7 linked regions of the Macaca fascicularis genome follow. The protein of the gene in region 5 purifies or fractionates together with the protein of the main gene of each other region. This does not show direct contact. Links are inferred from orthologs where the notes say so. Each region holds a gene or a part of one and is shown on either strand. Other genes may lie near its edges.

Region 1 (4,061 bases), on a different chromosome or scaffold from region 5:
CCTCCCAAAGTGCTAGAGGATTGCAGGCCTGAGCCACCGCGCCTGGCCCTAACATTTCAAAACGTTGGGAATTCAGGCAGCAAGAGACATTTTGTAAGAACATTTGAAACCCTTCTCCCCTGGAAATCAAGAGATATGTATGGAGCCTGGAGATTCCGAACTCAATTTTCTAGGACAAAGGCAAACTAAGATGATTACAAGAATGAAAGTGATCGTCACGCTGCTTCTAGGTTCCAAAGTATGGATATATATATATATTTTTTAATGGAATCTTGCCCTGTTGCCCAGGCTGGAGCGCAGTGGCGTGATCTCAGTGCAACCTCCGCCTCTCGGGTTCAAGCGATTCTCAACTGCCTCAGCCTCCCGAGTAGCTGGAATTGATTATAGGCGCGCGCCACCACGCCCGGCTAAATTGTTTGTATTTTTAACAGAGACAGGGTTTCACCATGTTGGCCAGGCTAGTATCGAACTCCTGGCCTCAGGTGATCCGCCCACCTCGGCCTCCGAAGGTGCTGGGATTACAGGCGTGAGCCACAGCGCCAGGCCGAGAAATTTTTTTTAAAGAGGAATTAAAGAACCTAATTGGTATTGAGAGCTCTCCAAGAGCCAGTAAATGTTTTCCCTACAATATTCCATTCTACCCCATTACTGCAGCGTCGTTATAGAAAAAAACAAAATCACATAAAGCAACTTGGGCCAAAAAACATTACACGTTCCAATTACGGAAACAACGAACTGAACGACTCCTGAATCATGTCACCCTTGAACTATGTAAAAGTTGAAAAGATGTGTCAAATACAGTAACAGTTCCACATTAAAAGATATTTACGTCGAGGTACAACCCTAATTTACAGTATTTAAAAACGCCTTTCTACACCCTTTCCGGGGAAGCTAATGCCACTTCAGCTGAGCTATCTAGCGAGATGGTTAAGCATTTACTGTGTCTCTTAACACCGACCAGGGAAAAATCATCAATTCGTTTGCCCGAGTTTATGAGAATTTTCACCCAACTTCCAGTCTCCATAGCCAATCAGTTCTTGGAACCGCATACCCGATGCCGACATCCCTCTCTTGTTGGCTCCCCTCGTCAGCAGGCTTCGATAACTAAACGTCCATTTCTAGCACTGACGAAAGAGCTCAAGCTTGACACAGCCCTCAATCCTCAGCAGCACCGCCCACCATGCTCCCGGAAGTTGCGACACTACGCCCTGCGCCAGTCCCGGGACGCAAGGTTTCATATCCGGATTCTTAGCGCGGACTCAGAACCCCGCTCTTCCCTACGCGGTCAGCACATGCGCGGCAGCTCTTTTCCTTCTTCTTCCACTTCCACTACCTTCCACCGTCCGGGAGTCGCCGCCACCGCCGCCGAGGAGTCAGGAAGTTCAAGATGGCCGCCGCGGAGACCCAGTCGCTGCGGGAGCAGACAGAGTAAGTAGTCTCTGTGAGTGGGCCAGAGGCTGGAGCCCGGGGACTGCCGAGTGGGAGCTGCACGGGCGGGCGGGAAAGTTCGGGCCTAACGGCGAGAGTCAAACTTTGCCTTCTCCGGCGCGATTCGTTGTGGGGTGGGAGGCATGGGGAGCAGGCGGCCTTCGAGCTTCCTTCTCTCAGAGGCCGCGGCTGCTGGGGTGAAGGCGGCCGCGGCCTGCAGCGCGTCGTTGCCCCGGGAGGCGTAGGCGCGAGCGGCCTCTACAGGTCCGGTGCGCGTGGCGGCAGTGAGGTCGCGCTTTCCCATTCCTCCCTTGGGGACCCATCTAAGCTCCCTGGCCGCGGCTCTTAGCGGCATCGGTGTTGGGGACACGAGGGTCAGTGGCAGCAGGCGGGGCAAGCCCAAGTCTTTTCTTCCTCTTGCGGTACCCCCAGTCGTCCTTTTACTGGTGTCAGTTTAGGACCTGAAAGCAGAGCGCGGAGGTGGTGGGGTCACACTCTCTGGCCATCCCAGAGCTAGTCTGTGGCTAGCAGGATACTTGATCTCGTCACCTTGTATTCTTTAGTCCAGCAGTCACCCAGTATTGTTTTGTTTTGTTTTGTTTTTTTGAGTGCCTGCCGCCAGCTTTTTTTTTTTTACCAACTTGCAAACTTGAGGCAAAGTGAGATAGAGTCTTTGGTTTTGAGGCCTGGCATTTTTTTTTTTTGTTTTTTTTTGCTTGAGTTTATAACCCTTTAGGAGGACGAGGACGAGTGGAAGGAGTAGTTGGAATTGCTAGCTACTGCCAAACCACTTTATATCTATAATTAAGCTAATATAAGAATCCATGCGGCCAAATGAAAAATGAAAAAAAAAAAACATACGTGTGTATGCTGCAAGGTTAACCATTGGTTAACTAAAAGCAGTATTTTGCTCTTCATGTCTATGTTAGGAAAACTCAAACAAGAACCATAATAGAGAGAATGGATTTTACGGCAATGTTCCTATAGCGACCGTTTTTTTTGCATCTGCACTGTCTCATCTGTTTCCAGCCATTTTAGAAAGAGGTATAGTCTCCCAGCAAGTTGTGACTGAGCGATAGGAGAAATCTTTGCCACCAGACAACCTGACACTTAATTGCTGTACGTCCAGTTTTGGGCTCTTCAATCATCTGCATTACTCAGCTAGGCGGAAAAACGGAATTTTTAACTAAGGGCTTTTCAAAACTGCTGTATTATCTTTATAATTTGCCTTAGCAGAGAACAAATGGATTCTGAAGTTTTAAACTAGCTTTAACCTCTTACTGTTTCTCACCGAGTTCATTGTGTGGCACAGTTACAGTGTTTATGCCAATACAGTGCAGATCTCATGCTATGTGGTTACATTTTCTACTAATCTGAAAATTTCTGTAGTATTATGTCCATTTATTTGATTTTAGGGATGTTTGAGATTCATTTCGAGGAGTGGGTTAGTCATTTTATTCGCATACTGTTTTCAAATAATATTAGACTTAATAATTTAAAAAATACATATTCAGGCCTCTACTGTATGAATAACAGAGATAGTCTTTAATTTCCCTTCCCTTCCCCACAGAACACTTGGTGTAAATGGAATATTTGGTCTGTATATGTCTCACTTTCAGTAGTTTGAAAGTATTTAACAAAGACGATAACCATTTGGTATGAAAGCAAACACTGTGCCTGGTGCTCACAGTGAGTCCTTGAATATAGTGTCTACAGCAGTTCTTTAGAGAACACTTGAATAGTTTACAGTTATATGGAATCTATTCAAAATAGAAAATTTAGAAAGAATAAATATAAAAAGTAGCTTTTAAGCTTCCTGAAGGCTTTAATTCTTTTAACAACCCTATAGAGGTAGATGCTTTTATTTTCCTGTTTTAAAGATGATGAAACTGAAACACAGAGAAATTGAGTAACTTGCTCAAGGTCACCCTAAGTGGCACACCCATTTAAACTCAGGCAGTCTGGTTCTAAAGCCCTGCTGCTAACTATTGAACTGTCTGGCCTCCCACTGTACAATGTGGCTTCTTTTTAAATTGCTTTTCAAGTATGAAATTATTTTTATTTTTTCCACTGTCCCAGAAAGATCCATTTTTTGATGTGATGTGTCTAATTTATTGAGACCTAATTTCTCAAACCTGATTTGGCAAAGCAGGGACCAGAGGGAAGGTTTTAAGACTAGTTAGTCTTTTGGACCCATTCTGATTTTTATATCTACATTAATTCTTTTTATTCATTTTATTTATTTTTGAAACATGAGCTCTTGTCACCCAGGCTGGAGTACAGTGACACTATCATGGCTCACTGTAGCCTCAACCTCAAGTGATCCTCCTACCCCAGCCTCCGGAGTAGCTGGGACCACAGGTATGCAACACCACGCTCAACTAATTTTTTTTTTTTTTTTTTTTGAGACAGAGTCTCACTTTGTCTCCAGGCTAGATTGCAATGGTATGATATTGGCTCACTGAAACCTTGGACTCTGGTTCAAGCAATTCTCCTGCCGCAGCCTCCCGAGTAGCTGGGATTACAGGCATGTACCAACACGCCCTGCTAATTTTTGTATTTTTAGCAGAGACAGGGTTTCACCTTGTTGGCCAGGATGGTCTCAATCTCCTGACTGCGTGATCCACCCGCCT
Region 2 (3,500 bases), on a different chromosome or scaffold from region 5:
GGTGACTACAGTTAACAATACCTGAAATTTGTTAAGAGTATAGATCTTATGTGTTATCCCCACATACACAAGACAACTCTCCAAGGTAAGGTGATATGTAAGTTAATTTACCTTGTTTGTGATAATCATATCGTAATATACATATATAACAAATTATGACATAGTACATGCAAGATATATGTATAGTCTATTATAGCTCAACAAAGCTGGAAAAAATAGATCCTGAATGATATAAATACCAATATTGTCAAATTGCCATTTATCCATTAATTGCTTATATTAGCCACCTGCTGAAGCCCGAAACAAAATTAATTATCCCAGTCCCTTCTACTTGGTTGTTCCCTAACTAGTAATTGGATACTCTTTCAAGTCAAAATAACATGTTAAGTGGTTTTTCCAACAGACCACCCTTAAATAGCCAATACTTATTTGGTTCAACTCTCCCATGAGATTAGGTTAGAAATGCAATTCAAACTAAATTTGCCTTTGTGTAAAGACCAGTATTGCACACCGGAATTAAATCTGTGACTTTTCTCCCAAACTAGAGAAGCCTATAAGCTACTGCTTCTCAAACAGAGGCTTAATTTGAAGAAAGCAATTAAGCAGTTAGGATGTTAGATAATTTCTCAGTATCAAGTCAGCCTTGTAATTAATTATTTCAGGCTTAAATATGATCTTTTCATCTAATCAAGTAAACAATTTAGGTTTGGAAACATTACTATTACTTTTACTACTTAACAGAAAGCAGTTTAATAATAACTGGCATTTAAAAAAAAAATTGGGCCGGGTGCAGTGGTTTACACCTGTAATCCCAGCACTTTGGGAGGCCAAAGCAGGTGGATCACAAGGTCAAGATTTCGAAACCAGCCTGGCCAACATGGTGAAATGCCGTCTCTACTAAAAATACAAAAACTTGCCAGGTGTGGTGGTGTAATCTCAGCTACTTAGGAGGCTGAGGCAGAAGAACTGCTTGAACCTGGGAGGCAGAGGATGCAGTAAGCCAAGATCGGGCCACTGCACTCCAGCCTGGGTGGCAGAGCAAGACTCTGCCTTAGGGGGGGAAAAAAAAAAAAGAAAAAAAAAAAAAATTGGCGGGTCGGGCGCAGTGGCTCACGCCTGTAATCCCAGCACTTTGGCAGGCCAACGTTGGCGGATCACGGAGCCAGGAGTTCGAGACCAGCCTGGCCAACATGGTGAAACCCCGTCTCTACGAAAAATACAAAAATTAGCTGGGAGTGGTGGTGCACGCCTGTAATCTCAGCCACTGGGGAGGCTGAGGCAGGAGAATAGCTTGAACCCAGGAGGCAGAAGTTGCAGTGAGCCGAGATCATGCCACTGCACTCCAGCCTGGGTGACAGAGCTAGACTTCATCTCAAAATAATGATAATAATAATAATAATGATAAAAATTTGTCAAGTTGCATCAAGTAATATACATACTTTCAAATCCTGTTCTTCTTCTACTTTTGGTGTTGTTTGTACTTTTATTTTCTCTGGAGATTCTTCTACTTCCACCTCTTTATCTGAATTCTCATCTGTTTTTTCTGAATTTTCAGCACCAATTGCTGTAAAAGAAAACATGTAAAATTAAACCAAAGTACCAATACTTATAGAGCACTATATACATCTTTCCCCATAGCAGATATCTGCAAATGATTATTAGTTCTTTCTCTCTTGCCTGTTTTACTTACTTGTTAAAACTCTTCAAACTTGTCAGCCTACTGTCTTTATAACCCAAAAACAATTCAGGGCCGGGCGTAGTGGCTCACGCCTGTAATCCCACCACTTTGGCATTTGGAGGTGGGCAGATTACAAGGTCAGGAGATCGAGACCATCCTGGCTAACACAGTTGAACCCTGTCTGTACTAAAAATACAAAAAATTAGCCGGACGTGGTGGCACGCGCCTATAGAATTGCTTGAACCTGAGAGGCGGAGGTTGCAGTGAGCCGAGATTGTGCCACTGCACTCCAGCCTGGGAGACAGAATAAGACTCCATCTCAAAAAATAAATAAATAAAATAAAAATCCTTTATAATCAACTTTCTTAAAATACATCTGTAAGTAAAATTTACTTTAGTCTATCAAATTACCCTGAAGTTTCTGCTTTCCCCTTCTCCTTAACACCTTTTCTAATTTCTCTTCCAGAATACCACTGCTTCAATTACTTACAATAGCTAGACAGCAAACCTGGGATATGTAAGAATTCTTTAACAAGTTGCAGGGTAAGGTGCTCAAAAGAGCAACATTATTAGCATTATAATTTCTTTTGGAGACAGACAGGGTCTCATTCTGTCGCCCAGGCTGGAGTGCAGTGGCATGATCTCAGCTCACTGCAGACTTGACCTCCTAGGCTCAACGGATCCTCCCACCTCAGCCTCCCAAGCAGCTGGGACTACAGGCAGGTGCCACCATGTCCAGCCAGTTTTTGTATTTTTAGTAGAGACGGGGTTTCACCATGTTGCCCAGGCTGGTCCCGAACTCTTGGTCTTATGCAATCCGCCTGCCTCAGCCTCCCAATGTGCTGGGATTATAGGCGTGAACCACTGTATCCAGGCTGCATCATTATTTTTAGTATTTTTTTGAGATGGAGTTTTGCTCTTGTTGCCCAGGCTGGAGTACAGTGGCATGATCTCAGCTCACTGCAACCTCTACCTCCAGGTTCAAGTGATTCTCCAGACTCAGCCTCCCAAGTAACTGGGATTACAAGCATGCACCACCAAGCCTGGCTAATTTTGTATTTTTAGTAGAGATAGGGTTTCACCATGTTAATCAGGCTAGTCTCGAACTCCTGACCAGTGACCGGCCCAGGTAGGTCTCTCAAAGTAGTGGCATTACAGGCATTAGCCACCACGCCCGGCCTGCATCATTTTCAAACCATCTGGTAATTTCCTTCCTAAACTGGTGAAGATCTACAGACATCTATATTGAACCCACCTATTTAGTTGGTGCTGATGTCTATTGGTAATGGGAATCTCCAAAAGAGAAGAGGTCTACCAACTTAAACAGAGCACACAATATGAACTCTTTTATCTTTGCTTCGTAACACCTATATACCCAAACTAATTCACACAGTCTAAATGACTGCCAGATAGGCCAGGCGCGGTGGCTCACGCCTGTAATCCCAACACTTTGGGAGGCTGAGGTGGGCGGATCACAAGGTCAGGAGATCAAGACCATCCTGGTTAACACGGTGAAACCCCATCTCTACCAAAAACACAAAAAATTAGCTGGGCATGGTGGTGGGCGCCTGTAGCCCAAGCGACTTGGGAGGCTGAAGCAGGAGAATGGCATGAGCCCAGGAGGCAGAGGTTGCAGTGAGCCGAGATCGTGTCACTGTACTCCATCCTGGTGACAGAGCAAGACTCTGTCTCAAAAAATAAAAATAAATAAATAAATGAAATAAATGACTGCCAGTTTAAAAAGCCAAAAATGACCAGGCACGGTGCCTCACACCTGTAATCCCAGCACTTTAGGAGGCCAAGGCAGGTGGATCACCTGAGG
Region 3 (3,500 bases), on a different chromosome or scaffold from region 5:
TGCCTTACCTCAAATGCTAAATAGATGGTACGCTCACATCTATACACAGATATTTGTGTAATGTTTTTTAGTTCTAATAAACAATAAAAGACCGTCACTGATTTCAAATACTGCAAATATGAAACCACATGTAATTTTAATTCTTAGTTTTATGTGACTGTCTTAATTCTATCATCCATTCCTTGAAAAAAGAAAAATCACACAGGTTTCCTTATTCATAGTCTCTATTATATTAATACCAAAAAACCCCCCAAAAAACAAAAAAACCCAGCAAACCCTTAACACTTAAGCTTTTATCTTAAGATGTCTGACAATGTCTAAATTTAATGCCATCATTTTGGCTTATGCTTTCTAAACTCATTTTCTCTAATATCATAACACAAGTTTCTTAGAGATATCCAAACAAAATCCCAGTAATAAATATCCAAAGGTCACTAATATCTTATTTTGATGAAGTAGTTTTTCTATGTACATATCCATTTATTGATTCAGGCAACTGTATAAATTATTTTGTCAATTTTCCCACTCTTGCCCAGAAAAACCCCTAGGATTCTGGTTGGAATTACATGGTATATAACTGAGTAAATGTTAAGCATTATTATTCTAATAGCTTGACTTGGAGAAAATGTCGAACTTTATAATACACCAAGTCTTTCTATTCAGGAAGCTATGGTGAAAGCAGGGGTTAAAAATCCTTGAATGGTAACATATTTCACTTTGTATTTACGATGAAGTTTATATTCTTAAGGAAGGTATTATCACAGAAATGTTAGGATCTCTTTTTATATAAGGGGAAAACACCTGGGATGCTAAGAACAACTAACAGTCTGAACAGGTCAAACAGATACAGATATACTGCTTTAAGCGCATCATGTTGCCAGAGTTATGTTTATGCTTTAACTTGGCCTATACATAGTTCCACTCAAGAAATACTGAATTCCACTTACCGTCATCATCATCCTGGTTGGGATTTGGTACATCTTTCAGAATGCTGAAGATTTCATCATTGGTTGCCTTACTTTTAAAGGCAACTGCTAAACAGAGGGCAACAGAATGTCCAGGAAGAGAATCTAAACACAGAATTGGGGGTAAGGGGAATGACAGATCAGGTTTCAAGACTATTCTAACGAATAGTTAAATAACTGAGAAAAAATTTTTTAAATTCTTCCTTTCAAAATAGGATGCTCTTTATCCCAAGGTCAATATTTAATCTGTATAAAAGTACCACATGTGGAAGCTTTTTCTAATAGGTTAATGGTTTTTCACCTAAAAAGGGACAATTCTCATTTCAACAATTCCTTAAGGACACTTAGCTAAGTAAAATTTAGAGTACAAGGTGCTGATCATCCTCAAGATGAATGGTAAGGAGAAGAGTGGACACAGTTAAACTGTCTTTTAATGCCCTCAACTCTCCCGGGCTCAAAAGCCCAGAACCAACGTACTTCTCTTTCATTTTGCCAACACCCATTTCCTCTTTCTTTCCTTGGGACCATGGAAACGAAGTCTCAGCCTCAACAAGGTAATGGCTGCCAAGTTTAGAGAGGTTTTTGTTTTTGTACTTTTCTTTTTTTGCTGAATCCACAAGTTTGAATCTATGTAAGTCAGATGCTCATGTGATAGGACTCCTTGTATTTACTATTGGTATCAGTTAAGTCCTTATTATAAAAATTTGTGCTAATATACACCGTAAGGCATCACCAGAGCAACAAGAAATCTGCTTTTAATGTAAGGTAGACAAAGAGGTAACAAAAAAGGCAATCCTGTCATAGAGTACGAGTTACTGGAATGAATGAAGTAAATTACAACAGTCACGTGAGGATGGTCATATTACACCTGCTGTGAGCTTTTTCTCTAAAAGAAAGAAGGCGAAGAAAAACAGAATCCCCTGTCACCAGTCTACATTCCAGCTGGAGAACCAAGATATTCACATTAGACACAGCCAGGGAGCAATACAAAACTGGCTTACTAAAGGTTAAAAAGTATTTACAGCTATTGAGCTTGGGCTAGAATCTAGAAGGAGAAAAGCAAGTGGAGCTAGAAAGGACTTTCCAGACTGGGGTAATAGCAAAGCCAAGAACAAACAGTATGGAAAAAATAAAAAAGGACATGGACCTGGGAGAAGTAGAGGCCCATGTCGGGAGAAGTGAAAAATAACAAAGTAGGAACAATGGTTATGAAGGCCTTGAAATGTTAGGCTGAGTTATTCCTATGGGGAAAAAGAAAGCTTAATCTTCAACAAAAGTCTGAGCTTTCTGACAGCAAAGACTGTACTTTATCATTCTCGGAACGAGTACAAGACAAAACTCAAAACCTGGCACTTCTAAGTGCTGCATGAACCTTTGATCTGCCAAAAAGCACAGTGGCTAAGAGCATGGCCACTCAGCAGTGCACCTACGCCTGAATTTGGGCTCCACCACTCAGAAGCAATCTCATTCTAGTTTGACCTCTTGGAAGCCATTTCCTCATTGTAGTTTTGATAATCATATCTATTTTTCAGAGTTGACATAATTAAATAGGAAATGTACCAGGACCAACACAGTTTATTTCAAAGGAAACAGGTACAATCACAGACAGAGGTGGAGAAACAGGCATATGGTATGAAAAGCAAGGAACAGCAGATAGTTGTGAGATGCAAAGAACCTCTACACAACATGAAATGGAAGGATCATGGAGGGGCTGTGTTAAGTGTAATCTGCAAAGGATAAGTTGGAAAAAACTCCACACCTAACTCCACCAGTGATCAACAATGTATAATACTCTACCTACATTAAGTGTAAATACTGTGCAAAGGGCAAAATGGCACATCAAATTACACTCCCTGATTTATGGTGCAATTTCAGAGATTATGTGACCAAAAGGTAAGAAAATAATAATTAAGAATTTACTTTTAAAGGCATACTGCCACAGAATATGTACATCTATGTTCTCAATACCACACCTGAAAAAGATAATTAATTCAAGTAATCTCCATCACCATGACAAATACGCATTTGCAGTTTAGTAAGATCTAACTATAAATTCATCTTGCTATACTTAACACATTCAAAAGAGAAAGAAAAGATAAGCCAGTAGTAATTAATTTTATCACAACCAAATCCTCAAAATGATGACAGGGCAAATAAAACAGTGGCTAATGCTAGACTACCCTTCGAATACAGGAAATATAAACCCCAAGAAAAGAAAAAGTTCAATTTCTCCACTTTAAACAACTAATTTAAATATATTTGAACTGGTACCTTTTAAAGACAGAGGGATTTGTTTCATTACTTACTGCTACTTTCATCTCCATACTTGTAAATGCAGGTTGGGTTTGCAGGACATAGAGCTGAGAAGGTAGGAGGAACAATATCTAATATACGCTGATGGTAAGACAACCTACAATACAAATAACAGCCTCAGAAAATATCTTTTATCAGTCCCATTCTTTGGTAACACCCAACTTACCTAGAAAGTCACAATCTCCAACAACTTGAACTCAGCTGACAACCAAGAGTGAAAGG
Region 4 (3,500 bases), on a different chromosome or scaffold from region 5:
ATTGCCCAGGTTGGTCTTGAACTGGCCTCAAGTGATCTTCTGCCTCGGCCTCTCAAAGTGCTTGGATTACAGGCATGAGCCACCATGCCTGACCTTTAATCTTTGTTACTTGTTCTTACCTCCAGAGAGTGGGACCGTGGCCGTGAGCGCCGTAGTCGGGGTGAATATCGGGACTATGACCGGAATCGGCGAGAGCGCTTCTCGCCACCTCGCCATGAACTCAGCCCGCCACAGAAGCGCATGAGGCGAGACTGGTGAGATGGAGCGGTTTCCCTCTTCTCCCCTTCGCCTCAGTTCCACTTGGGCCTCCCCTTTCTCCCCTCACCTGTGCCTAAATCTTTGTCATTTCCTTTTCTCAACTTCCCATCACCCATTGTTTCTTTGTCCCTTGAAACCCTTGTGTGGGAGACCATGCTGTGTGTACCCCTGTCTGTCTGTCCTCCTTCATGCTCTGGGGAGGTGACTCCCTTCTCTGCCTTACTTTTGTGTCCCCCACCCTCAGGGATGAGCACAGCTCTGACCCATACCACAGTGGCTATGAGATGCCCTATGCTGGGGGGGGTGGGGGCCCAACTTATGGCCCCCCTCAGCCCTGGGGCCACCCCGACGTCCACATCATGCAGCACCATGTCCTGCCTATCCAGGCCAGGTAAGGGCCGGGCTTTTCGGGAGAAGGGGGTTGGTAGGCCTGGGGGATGGATGGGGTTGCTGAAGGCCATGGTTGAAGCCAGGGAGTGGGTCAGGCCCACAGAGACATGTCCCTGGGATGGGGGTAGTAGCTGTTGGGGTTTGGGGTGATGTCCATGGTGGGCAAAGAAGGGGGGCACCTGGCTACTTTGGCCCCTGTAGCCTCCAACCCTTCCCCAACAACCAAGCCTTTCTGACTGGGGTCCCCTCCAGGCTGGGCAGCATCGCAGAGATCGACCTGGGTGTGCCGCCGCCTGTGATGAAGACCTTCAAGGAGTTTCTCCTCTCCCTGGATGACTCGGTGGATGAGACGGAGGCCGTCAAGCGCTATAATGACTATAAGCTGGATTTCCGGAGGCAGCAGATGCAGGATTTCTTCCTGGCGCACAAAGATGAGGAGTGGTGAGTGCCCCTGCTTCCCTGGATCTCTGCCCTGGCATGTCCCCCTGGCCCCGCTGGTGGAGCCGCGGCCCTGTCCTCTTCCCAGTTTCCCCTGTCCGGAACTTTCTGGGGGTGGGGGTCGGGAAGTATGACAGCATTGGCTGATGGGGTCTCCCCCTCACTTCAGCGACTGCCACGGCCCCCGCCCTGCCCTATCTCCTGTCCTGCTGTCCTCAGAGAGTGGGACACCTCCAGGCAGCAGGCCAGAGCCACCTGGCCCCTTGGGGCAGCAAACAGGCCGCTTCCCATTTGCTGGTGTTGGGTCATTGTCATCCCTGATCACCAGGACCCCGTGTGACTGTGGCATCCTCCTAAAGCGACGAGTGAATCCAGACAGGAAAAGCAAAGATCTCAGGGTCATTTGACAGAAAAAGAATTTTAATTTTTTTTTCCTTTTGTGGATGTTTTAATTTTAATCAACCATCTTTTCCCCCCTTCCTGCTCCTCCTCCTCCTCATCCTCTTTCTGCTCCTCCTCCTTGAAAAGAGCCAGAACTGGGAACTACACCCGCTCATCGACGGAGCTCGGAGCAAACCCACCTCCACCCCCACCATACCCAGCCCATACATGAGCCCCTGGGCTGAGCTGCGCGGCCCGGCCAGGCAGACAGGCAGGGCACTGCTGTGCACAATGCAGCGGTTTAGCTGAATGTGATTGCTCAGGCAGCTAGCCAGTCAGGCCCCACTGCGGAGTCCCGCGGGGCAGGGCATCTCGGCCGGGCGCCCAGCCAGGAGCCAGCCGGTGGCCCACCAGCCAGCATGGGCCCTGGGCGCCGCTAGTTAAATCTTGAGCTCTGTTTGACCAAGCGGCCAAGGTAAAGATCCTGGAGGTGATGCCTGCGGCTTTCCTTTCCTCCTCCGCCCCACTCGTGGTTCTGTTCTGTCTTCGCTGTCCCCTCTCAAATTGCTCTGTGTCTTTGTCCTAATCTCTCACGCACTTTCATTCTTCTCTGTCCCTGTTCTTGCTCCCTGCCTAACACTGCCTTCCGCCCTGTTGGTTTTTTCAGTTTCTCTCTCTTTAGTTTTTCCCTTTGTTTTGGTTTCTGGGACTTTCTCACACTTTCCCCTTTCCTCCCTTTCCCCTTTTCCTCATACTCCTCATTTCTTCTGTTTTCCCCCTGAGGTCCTATTTGAAATGTTTTATTTTTCTTTTCCTCCCTAACCTTCCAGCCCTCTCCTGTCTCTCCCCTGTGGGCAGGACCTGAGGCTCTAAAGGGCACTCCAGTCTCTCCCTTCGGTCTTTCCTGTCCCTTCACCGTCTTGCTTATCTTCCCACGGGTGGAGAAAGGTGCCCTGCCTCTGGGCTTTTGCTATCTGGCCCCCTCTGTCTTCCACCTTGGGGTGGAGGGAGTTGGCGGGAGCAGTTTTTGAATGACTGCAGTTTGGGGTTGGTGAGGAGAGGGAGGTTCTTCAGGGCCTGCTATTTCCTGAGCCTTCCTCTCTGAAGCTTTGGGAAATGACACCTTTTGACTAGTTAGTGTTTCCCGGAGACTTAAAGTGGTAAATCTGCCTCTCCAACCCTGGCGTCCCCCTGTAGTCATTGGTCTTCCCAAATCCAGAGCTCTTAGTTCCTGGTTTTCCCCCAGATCTTCTCAGAGCACAACTTCTGGTTCCCTTTGGGGTGTTGGGTGGTTCTAGTGCAACCCTATCCCCTAATCTCTCTGTTTTGATGACCTTTTGTGGGTGTGAGAGGATGGGGGCTATGCCCTGTCTTTCCTGGGCCCCTTCCCACATCCTGGCTTTGGCTTCCAGTAATTGTTTTGTCTTTCCCTCCCCCGCTTCGTTCCCAGGTTTCGGTCTAAGTACCACCCAGATGAGGTGGGGAAGCGTCGGCAGGAGGCCCGGGGGGGCCTGCAAAACCGTCTGAGGGTCTTCCTGTCCCTCATGGAGACTGGCTGGTTTGATAATCTTCTCCTGGACATAGACAAAGCTGATGCCATCGTCAAGATGCTGGATGCAGGTGTGTGGATTTGGAGGGCTGGCAGGCATTTGGGGTGGGTGTATTTGGGGACCAGGCAGATACGGGTTGACAGGAGCCAGGGCCCTCGGGTTGTGAACTCTGTTCCCTTTGTTGGTAGCTGTGATTAAGATGGAAGGAGGCACAGAGAATGATCTCCGCATCCTGGAGCAGGAGGAGGAGGAGGAACAGGCAGGAAAGCCTGGGGAGCCTGGCAAGAAAGAGGAAGGACGGGCTGGAGCAGGCCTTGGGGACGGGGAGCGTAAAACAAACGACAAGGACGAGAAGAAGGAAGACGGCAAGCAGGTCCGAGCGCCGGGCCTCTAGTGCTGCCTCGGGATCCAAAGGAGCTACAAGTGCGGGGCTGTGTTCTGGGAGGGGTGGAGAAAATGAACCTGTGGCCTCAGCTGTCAGGG
Region 5 (3,500 bases):
GAAAGTATTAAATCAGTCCTTAGATTCCTCACATAGAACTCTTTCATTTCCAGGCAGCAGGTGGTTTATATGTTTGTCAAACTTTTTTTTTTTTTTTTTTTGAGACAGAGTCTCGCTCCGTCACCCAGGCTGGAGTGCAGTGGCCAGATCTCAGCTCACTGCAAGCTCCGCCTCCCGGGTTCACGCCATTCTCCTGCCTCAGCCTCCCGAGTAGCTGGGACTACAGGTGCCCACCACCTCGCCCGGCTAGTTTTTTGTATTTTTTAGTAGAGACGGGGTTTCACCATGTTAGCCAGGATGGTCTCGATCTCCTGATCTCGTGATCCGCCCGTCTTGGCCTCCCAAAGTGCTGGGATTACAGGCTTGAGCCACCGCGCCCGGCCATCAAACTTTTTTTTTCTGTTGTTTGTTTTGTTTCTGGAGAGACATGGTCTTGCTCTGTTGCCCAGGCTGGTCTCAAAACCCCTGGGCTCAAGTGATCCTCCCACCGTGGTCTCCCAAACTCCTGGGATTATAGGCGTGAGCCACCGCACCTGGCCTAAAATGTTTCTTGATAGGTCTGAAATGTTTTAAAAGACCTGACTTTTGAAAAAAAAATGGTTCTCTTACCTTCCCCCGTTCCCTGCTGCGGTACCCAACGTGCCTGGGGGATGTGATTGGTGTTTTCCCGAGTAGCACATGGGCAGGGCGGACTCAGATGCCAGTCCTGTGCTCTGTGTCCGTGTTGAGTGCAAGCCAGTGGAGCTGCAGACCTGCTGTTTCCAGTCTGTCTGCTGCGTGTTCCTCAGGCATTCCCTGAGACTGTGCGGAACAGCTCGTTGTGTTTTAATTTCCCTGTGGGCTGAGGCTGTCACCCTTTTGTTGCGGGTGTCTAAGCCAGGGACTCTGCTTAAATTCCATCCTTGCCACTCTTGGCTCAGCTCAGTCCTGTTTCCCTTCACAACAAGCAACCTGACATTCGTTTCATTTGTGTTTGTTTTGAGACGGAGTTTCGCTCTTGTTGCCCAGGCTAGAGTGCAGTGGCACAGTCTTGGCTCACTGCAACCTCCACCTCCCGGGTTCAAGCAATTATTTTGCCTCAGCCTCTCCAGTAGCTGGGATTACTGGTGCCCGCGACCATGCCCGGCTAATTTCTGCATTTTTAGTAGAGACAGGGTTTCACCATGTTGGCCAGGCTGGTCCCGAACTCCTGACCTCGGGTGATCTGCCCGTCTCAGTCTCCCAGAGTGCTGGGATAACAGGCGCGAGCCACCGCGCCCAGCCGCAACCTGACATTCGTTAGTGAAATGGGGCCCTGGCCCAGCCATAGAGACGTCCGTTACTGTGTAACCCTGGAACTGCCCAGTGTCCCCCCAAAATCACACATTCCATGGGTACATGATCCATAAATGGACACTGGGTAAACGTGGACCATGGAGCACCCCCCGCCGGCCCCTCCCTCCAGTCTGTGGTTGGACTGTGGTGAGATGTTCTCATGTGTCCAGGTCCCTGAGCGTGAGCAGTGTCTCCTCAGTGTCCAGTGCTACGTCGAGCAGCAGCTCTGCACACAGCGTGGACTCGGAAGACATGTACGCAGACCTGGCTAGCCCCGTGTCCTCAGCCAGCTCTCGGTCCCCAGCCCCAGCCCAGACCAGGAAGGAGAAAGGTATTCGGGGGCCCTGGTACCTTTAAGGAGTAGCTCCAGGGCAGGAGGGTGGCATCAGCACAGACTTTGCCTGGCTGTCGGTGTGGCCCCGGGAAAATCACCAGTACCCCCATGACTGCAGATTTATCGTTGGTAGGAAAATCTAAGAAAGAAGACGGTGTTAAAGAGGAAAAGCGGAAAAGGGATTCGTCCACGCAACCACCTAAATCTTCAAAACCTCCAGCAGGGGGGAAGTCCTCCCAGCAGCCCTCGACCCCCCAGCAGGCACCCCCCGGGCAGCCCCAGCAGGGCACGTTTGTGGCCCACAAGGAGATCAAGTTGACACTGTTGAATAAGGTGAGGGCAAGGGCCCTGCTGGTGGCTCCCCCAGCGTCTGGGCCTGGGTCCATTTGCTTCCTGAGACAGCTTCCTCCTGGGGGACAGAACCTGAGTGAGGGCCAGTGGAGCCTTGCAGGTGTCGGCAGAGCCTGGGTGACAGAGCGAGACTCCATCTTCCCGGCCTGGGCCAGGAAGTGTGAGCATCTGGGGAGGTTCGGGTGCTGCCGGCCTCGCTCTGGACAGAGAGCGTGTTCTCTCTGTGCCTGTGGCCGCCATTCCCTGCCAGCCAGTCTCAACATAATACAGGAAGCAAGCCTCAGTCCCTGTCCTCTGCCCTCAGCAGGACACATCGCTGTCCTCTGCTGGAAGGTTAAGAGGCCTGGTTTCAGGAGTCCCAAGTCCTCCTAGAGTGGCCCCCATGGGGAGCAGGAAGGCCTTCAGGGTGCTTCCCATGGAACATGAAGGGGCCCCAAGTGCACAGTGGGGGTGCCCTTGGTCCGGGTCATGGAGGCCTCACTTGGGGCTACAGGGTCTGATGGGCATGTGGTGGGACCTTTGGGAGCAGAGCAGTTTGCTGGCAAGGAAATGTTGTCTGGGGTGAGGACACAGCTGCTGTCTCCTGGCCCTGCCATCCTCACCAGCCTCTCGGTTGTCCCAGGCGGCTGATAAAGGAAGCAGGAAGCGCTATGAACCATCAGACAAGGACAGGCAGAGCCCTCCTCCAGCCAAGCGGGCCAACACATCCCCAGACCGAGGTGAGCCTCCCAGCCCCTAGGGGGCAGGGCAGGGGGCGGGAGCCTGGGGATGCGGAGCAGCTGGACTCAGACCCCATCGCTCTTAACAAGCAGGAGGGCCCAGAAAACATCTGACTTGCAGATTATGCCTGTCAGTATTACGATATTGAAAACTAAAACTAAGAAAAATTTTTAAATGTTTGTTTAAAAGTAACAGGACCAGGCGCGGTGGCTCACGCCTGTAATCCCAGCACTTTGGGAGGCTGAGGCGGGCAGATCACTTGAGGTCAGGAGTTCGAGACCAGCCTGGCCAACCTGGTAAAACCCTGTCTCTACTAAAAATACAAAAATTAGGCCGGGCGCAGTGGCTCACGCCTGTAATCCCAGCACTTTGGGAGGCCGGGGCAGGTAGATCACAAGGTCAGGAGATTGAGACCGTCCTGGCTAACACGGTGAAACCCCGTCTCTACTAAAAAATACAAAAAACTAGCCAGGCGAGGTGGCGGGTGCCTATAGTCCCAGCTACTCGGCAGGCTGAGGCAGGAGAATGGTGTGAACCCGGGAGGCGGAGCTTGCAGTGAGCCGAAACAGCGCCACTGCACTCCAGCCTGAGTGACAGACTCTGTCATCCCAAAAAAAAAAAAAAATTAGCCGGGCATGGTGGCGGGCACCTGTAATCCCAGCTATTCAGGAGGCTGAGGCAGGAGAATCACTTGAACCGGGAGGCGGAGGTTGCAGTGAGCTAATACTACACTACTGCACTCCAGTCTGGCCACAGAGCAAGACTCTGTCTCAAAAATAAA
Region 6 (3,500 bases), on a different chromosome or scaffold from region 5:
AAGCAAAGAGGTGTTTACTAGGTGGTACATAAGTTAAACACATTCAAAACGTGTTTTATTGATGGAGATAAGTACTTAGTGAGGCCGTATTAAGGACAGTAACAAGTTCTTATTCTTGACCCATCAACTTCTTAAGGTGAAGCTGAGGACCAGGAAGAGAAAGAAGATGCTGAGAAAGAAAACATTGAAAAAGATGAAGATGATGTAGATCAGGAACTTGCGAACATAGACCCTACGTGGATAGAATCACCTAAAACCAATGGCCATATTGAGAATGGCCCATTCTCACTGGAGCAGCAACTGGACGATGAAGAGGATGACGAAGAAGACTGCCCAAATCCTGAGGAATATAATCTTGATGAGCCAAATGCAGAAAGTGATTACACATATAGCAGCTCCTATGAACAATTCAATGGTGAATTGCCAAATGGACGACATAAAATTCCCGAGTCACAGTTCCCAGAGTTTTCCACCTCGTTGTTCTCTGGATCCTTAGAACCTGTGGCCTGCGGCTCTGTGCTTTCTGAGGGATCACCACTTACTGAGCAAGAGGAGAGCAGTCCATCCCATGACAGAAGCAGGACGGTTTCAGCCTCCAGTACTGGGGATTTGCCAAAAGGTAAGTGTTCTTCCCATCAACTGTCTGCCATTACTGACTCCAGGGACGTGCCGTTAACAAATGCTATGAAGGAACTGGCTGGAAGTGGCCAAGCCCTGTTTGTGTGTGCTAATCATTTTTATTACTTTTATACTCATGAAGAAGTAATGTGATTTAAATACATGTTCTATGCCACTAGACTATCTCTTGCTCTCTGCATACCAAATCTTATTTCTGATCAGTTCTCATTTTTAATATATTTATAGTCAGCAGCATCATTTGCAAAAACTGGAAGGTTTTTGTAAAAAGGTTTTTGTAAAAAGATGTAAAACTACATCTTTCTAGAATGTGTAGTTTAGTTTATCATTTGTATCTTCTTCTATCTGATATTATTATAGTTTTTTTTGTTTTGTTTTGTTTCTATTCAAGAAAAGTATACCTCCTCTTTGACTCTATTGAGAAAGAAGTGTCATATTGTCTTTTGATATTTGTTCCTGATTATAGGACCCTACTATTGATAACGGGCCCAGGATTGTAATTTTCAAGGAATTGGCATGGATTTAGATGTGATGACAGATTATAGGTTGGCTCTTGTGTTCTTGTCTACCTAAGAAGGCTTGACTTATTCAAACCTTTATTTTGGGAGTCAATGCTGAGTGACTCTAGTAAGTGAAACTGGGTAACACAGTTGGTTTCCATTCTGACTCATGGTGGAAAAGCTCTGAAACCTCCTCTGCTCCCTCTGCTGACAAGACTGTTTAACACACAGTGAGTAATTGATGAGCCAGCCGTGCAAACCACCCAAGACATTATACAGCCCCTTTGGTTCCAGAGTCTGGAATTGCACGCTAAGTGAGCTGGCTTTGTTACACGCTGGCTATGATGAATCCTCCTAAGGATTTGCTTTCTTTACTTGGCTGGACGTGGTCAGCTCCTGTTCCCCTGTATAGGGAGTGTTTGAAGGTGCTTACATAGAATGTAGGTTCATGTCTGGGAAAGGGCAGTAGCGAGATGTACCTTATCCAGATTTATTGTTGCTGTTGCAGTTCAATTTTTCTCTTGAGGTTTCTTTTTTCTTTTTGAGATTGAGTCTTGCTCTGTTGCCCAGGTTTGAGTGCAGTGGCGTGATCTCAGCTCACTGCAACCTCTGCCTCCCGGATTCAAGCGATTCTGCCGCCCCAGCCTCCTGAGTAGCTGGGATTACAAGCATGTGCCACCACGCCTGGCTAATTATTGTATTTTCAGCAGAGACGGGTTTTCACCATGTTGGTCAGGCTGATCTCAAACTCCTGACCTCGTGAGCCACCGCGCCCGGCCGAAGTTTCATATAGAAAGTAATTTACAAAGTATCTTTTTAATTATTTCTATTTTATTTATTTATTTATTTATTTATTTATTTATTTATTTTGAGACAGTCTCAGTCTAGTTGCCCAGGCTGGAGTGCAGTGGTGCAATCTCAGCTCACTGCAACCTTTGCCTCCTGGACTCAAGCAATTCTCCTGCCTCAGTCTCCCGAATAGCTGGGATTACAGGCGCCTGTCACCATGCCTGGCTAATTTTTATATTTTTAGTAGAGACGGAGCTTCACCATGTTGGCTAGGCTGGTCTCCAATGCCTGACCTCAGGTGATCCGCCCTCCCCAGCCTCCCAAAGTGCTGGGATTACAGGTGTGAGCCACCATGACCAGACCAAAGTACCTTTTTTATTTGTACTTAGTTTGCAAGTATTAGCTTAGGCTGCAGTGGCTTCAGTTACAGCCAACCCTCCGTATCCATGGGTTTTACATCTGTGGATTTCACATCCATGTGCTCAGCCAGCCTCAGATGGAAAACAGTTGGAGGGGAAAAAAAAAAACCTGTGTCTTTATTGAACATGTACAGACTTTTCCCCCTTGTCATTATTCCCTAAACAATACAGTATAACAACTATTTACATACCATTTACATTGTAGCAGGTATTATAAATAACTAGAGATCAACTAAAGTATATAGGAAGATGTATGTAGGTTGCATGCAAGCACTATACCATTTTATATCAGCGACTTGAGCATCTGTGGATTTCGGTGTCCTCAGGATGTCCTGGAACCAGTTCCCCGCAGACACCGAGAGGCACCCACGTATCATCAGATTAATCCCCAGCTCAGAACTTAATAACTGTGGAACTTTGGTTTCTTATCCTGTCTGAGCCTTGGCTTATTCCTCTATCAAAGGAAAGAAATGGCTACCTCTAGGGTTGTTAGTAGCACTGAGTTAAATACAACAGGTCAATGGCAAAGGTAGATAAATAACATACAATAATATATTGAAAAATTTCCCATTGAATGTAAGTTGCCTTGGTCATCACAATCCATGTAAAGGAGCACAATTGCTGCTTGTTACCACGTGGTCACCATCGAGGCCCAGGCAAGTCATAAAACTTACCCTGTTGTTTACATGACAGCTCCATCTCTGTCACAGGAAACTTCAAACCTTACATGTTAAAAACCAGAATACAACTCACCCTGCCAACCTGCTACACATGCTGTATTTCCTGCGCTTGTTACCACCATTTCTTGTTGCGTCAGTGAGAAACTTGATCATCAGTATGTCCCCCTTTTTTCTCTCACATCCAGTAAATCATCTCGTTTTGCTAGTCATACCTCATAAGTAGGGGTCCTGCTTGCCTTGGCCCTACAGTGGGCACTGTCATTGCTTGCCTCTGCTGTTACGGAGGCTCCTTACTGGTCTCTTGGCTTTGTGTTCTCTCCAGCTTTTCTCCCCACCTGCCTTTCAGCATGCCCTTCCATGGTGCTGCTAGAGTGTCTTTGCAGTATGCTTACCCGATCAGTGTATTCCCCTGCTCACAGTTTCCACAGGTCCCCATCATCTACAGCAGTGGTCTCCACAGTGGAGAGTGTACATCC
Region 7 (3,952 bases), on a different chromosome or scaffold from region 5:
AGGCTGAGGCAGGACGATCACTCGGACCCAAGAGTTCGAGACTACCCCATCTCTACAAAAAAATCCAAAAAGTAATCTGCTTGCTCATGCGGATGTGGTTGTAAGGAAGCGAAATAACACGCAGAGTGCAATGAGCAAGTCCCAGCACAAAATACTCATTTCATAAAATACATGTTTATTATTGCCATAGGCCTACAGTCCCTGGTATTCTCAATATATCTTGCCTGAGAAGTATCACACTCATGCCTATTAACCAGCTCATACATTTTTTTAATCAAAGGAATTTGGCAGTTGTAGGGTTGTCTTTTCATTCACATCGTCCCTGGAATTAAGTGTCCTGCTACACCAGTGCAGATTCAGCAGCATCTGTCAAGAGTGTCAGTTCCATCTGCAGAGGAAAGGCTCTCTGGCTTCGGTCCGTGGCTCTCCGCGGGTGCGGTGTCTGGACCCAGCCTATCTTCATCTCTGTTAGGCTTCGGGGTCTTTCTCCACACGGTGTCTTGTCCAATCACAGGACTTCAGCGGAGCCTGCGGTCTGGCCTAGGCTCTTCTGCGTGGGATGTCTGCAGGCCAACAATCCGAGTCGGGGTTCGAAGCCGCGCGCAGTGCCCGGAACGACCCCTCCACGTCGAGGCCAGTGTAGAGCCCGGAAGGCAAAGTAAAGGCCTCGGCCCCGCACAGCCCAGGCTTAAATGTTTGCGCCAGGGCCCCTCTGGCTACCTGGTGGTGGCCCCGAACGGCCACGGAGGCCGCGGCGTAGCTCCTGGGTGAAGGTGTCTCTGAATCGCCCAGCGCGGCGGCACAGGGAGCCTGCGGGGCCAGCCGCGAGGTCCTGCAGGCGGCGGGCCGCGTCCTGGCCCCGCAGCTGGGCCTGCAGCAGAGCGAAGGCCGTGAGCTGCGCCGCACGTCGGATAGGCCGAGACTCGGACAGACGTTCCACCAGCTGCGGGCTGTGCAGCAGGGCCGCCAGCAGCCGCCGAAGCACCATCTTCCCCAAGCGCCCGGGAATCCGACCTCGCCGCCCTAGTCTTCCGCCCGGCGGCGCCCGACCCGGACGTCATCTGCGCCCGCGCAGCTTGATGACGACACTGCCGCCCTCGGATTGGGTCCAATGAGATGCGCGCTTCCGCGCGTTTCCGCTTCCGCCACGGCAGACGCCACCTCGTGCCGGGAATCGCCGCGTCCTCGTCCGCTTCTCTGCGCTATGTCGGGTGGCCTCCTGAAGGCGCTGCGCAGCGACTCCTACGTGGAGCTGAGCCAGTACCGGGACCAGCACTTCCGGGTGAGGGAGGCCGGGCCGCGAGAGGGGAAGGCCCTGGGCCAGAACGCTGAGAAACGGTTTGCTCTTGTCTCATTGTGTCGCCTCCCGTTCTGCTGCAATCCCCAAACGCCAAGTGGGGCCCCGGTGCCGGCTGGGGAGGCAGGGAGCGGGTGCTGGGGGGGCGCTTGGACATCACTGAAGCCGCTGGCTCTGGAAGACAGGGCATTTGAGGCTCGCTTTCCTGTTCCCTCCAGCCGCTCCCTGCACCCGAGCCGGTGCCGAGAGGCCTGAGCGCTGATGGTAGTGGCGGCTCCCGTTTCCAGGTTGTACCTCGCAGATGGCTGCGTAACAAGGGCGGGGTGCCCTTCTCTCTCCCAGAGTGTGCAGAGGCGCCTTCTTGATGCAGATTCGGGGCTTTTTACGTTCTTTTTTATTTTTTTTATTTTTTTATTTTATTTTTTTTTTTTTGAGACGGAGTCTCGCTCTGTAGCCCAGGCTGGAGTGCAGTGGCCGGATCTCAGCTCACTGCAAGCTCCGCCTCCCGGGTTTACGCCATTCTCCGGCCTCAGCCTCCCGAGTAGCTGGGACTACAGGCGCCCACCACCTCGCCCGGCTAGTTTTTCTGTATTTCTTAGTAGAGACGGGGTTTCACCGTGTTAGCCAGGATGGTCTCCATCTCCTGACCTCGTGATCCGCCCATCTCGGCCTCCCAAAGTGCTGGGATTACAGGTGTGAGCCACCGCGCCCGGCCTACGTTCTTTTTTAAATCGGCGAAGCAGTGCCCTTCTCTGGGAGGATGGTGTTAGGGAAGCTGTACGCGGTGCGTGGGAGACACAAGTGAAGTCCTCACTCCGCCCTCGGGGAGGCTTCGGAGTGGGGAGGGGGACCCGCCAAGCTGGGCACTTTGAGGGTGTTTGGATGTGAAGATCGGAGAATTGCTGGATTTCAGAAGAGAGAAATTTTTAGTCCGGACTATATCACAGTATGTTTTGTGGAAAAAGGGGAGGCCGCAGATATACAAAGTAGGCTTTTCAGTATCAGCAAAGGTAGGGATGGAATACGGTTGAGGGGTGGCGGCGCGGGACTCATTAACCCGGTTATTTAGTAAACATTTGTTGAGTGCTGTCACCAAAGCCTTGTGCTAAACCCTGGGGGGAAGGGAAGACAGTTTCTGCACTCTGCGAGCTCATAATCCCCTGTAGTGTGGATTATCAAAGAATCTAAGGTAGAAGTGAGTTAAAAGAGAGGCTGTGAGAATTCAGAAAAAGGGGAGAAATCCCCTTGTGACTGGGAAATGAGGGGGCGCATATAGCAGAGGTCAGTGTGGAGAACGTGTGAAATATGTTACTAGAGTAGGGAAAAGGAAACTTTGACGCCAAATTAGGGAAGCTCTGAAATTTATTCAGTCGAGGCCGGGCACGGTGACTCATGCCTGTAATCCCAGCACTTTGGGAGGCTGAGGCGGGTGGATCACGAGGTTAGGAGATCGAGACCAGACTGGCCGAGATGGTGAAACCCCATCCCTACTAAAAATACAAAAATTAGCCGGGCGTGGTGGCGGCGCCTGTAGTCCCAGCTACTCGGAAGGCTGAGGCAGGAGAATTGCTTGATCCCGGAAGGTGGAGGTTGCGGTGAGCCAAGATCGCGCCACCGCACTCCAGCCTGGGCAACAGAGCGAGATTCCTACTTTAAAAAAAAAAAAAAAATTCGGTCAATTTATTTTATTTTTTGAGACAGAATCTCGCTCTATTGCCTAGGCTGAAGTGCAGTGGCGCAATCACGGCTCATGCAGCCTCAACCTCCTGAGCCCAAGTGATCCTCCCCACCTCAGCCTCCTGAGAAGCTGGGACCACAGGCTCTCACACTACATCCGGCTAATTTTTTGTAGAGACAGGGTCTCCCTGAGTTGCTCAGGCCGGTCTCAAACTCTGGGACTCAAGCGATCCACCAGCCTGGGCTTCCCAAAGTGCTGGGATTACAGACGTGAACCACTGACCCCGGCCAGTCCAGGTTTTAGATGCTTAAGTGCCAGGCATGATTTGCACTTTTTTTGAGACGGGGTCTGGCTCTGTCACCCAGGCTGGAGTGCAGTAGCACGATCTCGGCTCACTGCAAGCTCCGCCTCCCGGGTTCACGCCATTCTCCTGGCGAGCTGGGACTACAGGCCCCGCCACCACGCCCGGCTAATATTTTTGTTTTTGTTTTTGTTTTTTAGTAGAGACGGGGTTTCACCGTGTTAGCCAGGATGGTCTCGATCTCCTGACCTCGTGATCCGCTCGCCTCGGCCTCCCAAAGTGCTGGGATTACAGGCGTGAGCCGCTGTGCGCGACCCTGATGAGCCATTTTGGATCCAGGGATTTGTCAGGTGTGTTGGATGAAGCCCAGTTATATTCTTATCTCTGGCTTCATCGTGTCATCCCAGTTTGGAAGCCCATTAGGAAAGTGAGCTCTGTTTTGTTTTTAGTGATCACTACATTTTTTTCCTCAATTCAGAAAAAATACATGAGCATGTAAAGCATCAGAGTTGTTGCTTTAAACAGTCTCTATGGGGTTATTAAAAGGGGACTCTCTGGAAATCCACTTATTTCTCACTACAGAGTATAAAAGGGCCCTTTGTCATACATGGGTCAAGGTCCAGAGTTTAACCTTGGTTGAAAGGATGCACTGCTGAGAAGATGGCGTGTGCAGGGA

What was found.
Region 1: the proteins of ZC3H18 (region 5) and PRP4K purify together in Homo sapiens (co-immunoprecipitation; 4 studies listed by BioGRID and IntAct, counting the BioPlex papers as one, with this or other methods). This does not show direct contact. The link is inferred for Macaca fascicularis from reciprocal best matches to the Homo sapiens genes ZC3H18 and PRP4K.
Region 2: the proteins of ZC3H18 (region 5) and FNBP4 purify together in Homo sapiens (affinity purification with mass spectrometry; 3 studies listed by BioGRID and IntAct, counting the BioPlex papers as one, with this or other methods). This does not show direct contact. The link is inferred for Macaca fascicularis from reciprocal best matches to the Homo sapiens genes ZC3H18 and FNBP4.
Region 3: the proteins of ZC3H18 (region 5) and NCBP1 purify together in Homo sapiens (co-immunoprecipitation; 3 studies listed by BioGRID and IntAct, with this or other methods). This does not show direct contact. The link is inferred for Macaca fascicularis from reciprocal best matches to the Homo sapiens genes ZC3H18 and NCBP1.
Region 4: the proteins of ZC3H18 (region 5) and SRRT purify together in Homo sapiens (co-immunoprecipitation; 4 studies listed by BioGRID and IntAct, counting the BioPlex papers as one, with this or other methods). This does not show direct contact. The link is inferred for Macaca fascicularis from reciprocal best matches to the Homo sapiens genes ZC3H18 and SRRT.
Region 6: the proteins of ZC3H18 (region 5) and SRPK2 purify together in Homo sapiens (affinity purification with mass spectrometry; 3 studies listed by BioGRID and IntAct, with this or other methods). This does not show direct contact. The link is inferred for Macaca fascicularis from reciprocal best matches to the Homo sapiens genes ZC3H18 and SRPK2.
Region 7: the proteins of ZC3H18 (region 5) and NCBP2 purify together in Homo sapiens (co-immunoprecipitation; 3 studies listed by BioGRID and IntAct, with this or other methods). This does not show direct contact. The link is inferred for Macaca fascicularis from reciprocal best matches to the Homo sapiens genes ZC3H18 and NCBP2.

What each region holds. Positions count from the first base shown.
Region 1 is NC_088378.1:169,033,147-169,037,207, reverse strand, and holds the start of PRP4K (serine/threonine-protein kinase PRP4 homolog), read left to right. Parts: upstream 1-1,261; 5' UTR 1,262-1,387; coding exon 1,388-1,428; intron 1,429-4,061. UniProt on the Homo sapiens protein: Serine/threonine kinase involved in spliceosomal assembly as well as mitosis and signaling regulation. Connects chromatin mediated regulation of transcription and pre-mRNA splicing.
Region 2 is NC_088388.1:18,096,636-18,100,135, reverse strand, and holds part of FNBP4 (formin-binding protein 4), read right to left. Parts: intron 1,565-3,500; coding exon 1,440-1,564; intron 1-1,439.
Region 3 is NC_088389.1:60,465,070-60,468,569, forward strand, and holds part of NCBP1 (nuclear cap-binding protein subunit 1), read right to left. Parts: intron 3,376-3,500; coding exon 3,272-3,375; intron 1,071-3,271; coding exon 948-1,070; intron 1-947. UniProt on the Homo sapiens protein: Component of the cap-binding complex (CBC), which binds cotranscriptionally to the 5'-cap of pre-mRNAs and is involved in various processes such as pre-mRNA splicing, translation regulation, nonsense-mediated mRNA decay, RNA-mediated gene silencing (RNAi) by microRNAs (miRNAs) and mRNA export.
Region 4 is NC_088377.1:49,475,604-49,479,103, forward strand, and holds part of SRRT (serrate RNA effector molecule homolog), read left to right. Parts: intron 1-125; coding exon 126-254; intron 255-502; coding exon 503-649; intron 650-900; coding exon 901-1,089; intron 1,090-2,917; coding exon 2,918-3,087; intron 3,088-3,205; coding exon 3,206-3,390; intron 3,391-3,500. UniProt on the Homo sapiens protein: Acts as a mediator between the cap-binding complex (CBC) and the primary microRNAs (miRNAs) processing machinery during cell proliferation.
Region 5 is NC_088394.1:84,533,347-84,536,846, forward strand, and holds part of ZC3H18 (zinc finger CCCH domain-containing protein 18), read left to right. Parts: intron 1-1,484; coding exon 1,485-1,645; intron 1,646-1,766; coding exon 1,767-1,981; intron 1,982-2,621; coding exon 2,622-2,718; intron 2,719-3,500.
Region 6 is NC_088377.1:146,652,102-146,655,601, reverse strand, and holds part of SRPK2 (SRSF protein kinase 2), read left to right. Parts: intron 1-136; coding exon 137-619; intron 620-3,500. UniProt on the Homo sapiens protein: Serine/arginine-rich protein-specific kinase which specifically phosphorylates its substrates at serine residues located in regions rich in arginine/serine dipeptides, known as RS domains and is involved in the phosphorylation of SR splicing factors and the regulation of splicing.
Region 7 is NC_088376.1:2,357,048-2,360,999, reverse strand, and holds the start of NCBP2 (nuclear cap-binding protein subunit 2), read left to right. Parts: upstream 1-1,152; 5' UTR 1,153-1,204; coding exon 1,205-1,282; exon of another isoform or gene 1,283-1,338; intron 1,339-1,513; exon of another isoform or gene 1,514-1,584; intron 1,585-1,836; exon of another isoform or gene 1,837-1,990; intron 1,991-2,131; exon of another isoform or gene 2,132-2,307; intron 2,308-3,476; exon of another isoform or gene 3,477-3,626; intron 3,627-3,952. Other genes in the region: protein NCBP2AS2, read right to left, coding at 689-988. UniProt on the Homo sapiens protein: Component of the cap-binding complex (CBC), which binds co-transcriptionally to the 5' cap of pre-mRNAs and is involved in various processes such as pre-mRNA splicing, translation regulation, nonsense-mediated mRNA decay, RNA-mediated gene silencing (RNAi) by microRNAs (miRNAs) and mRNA export.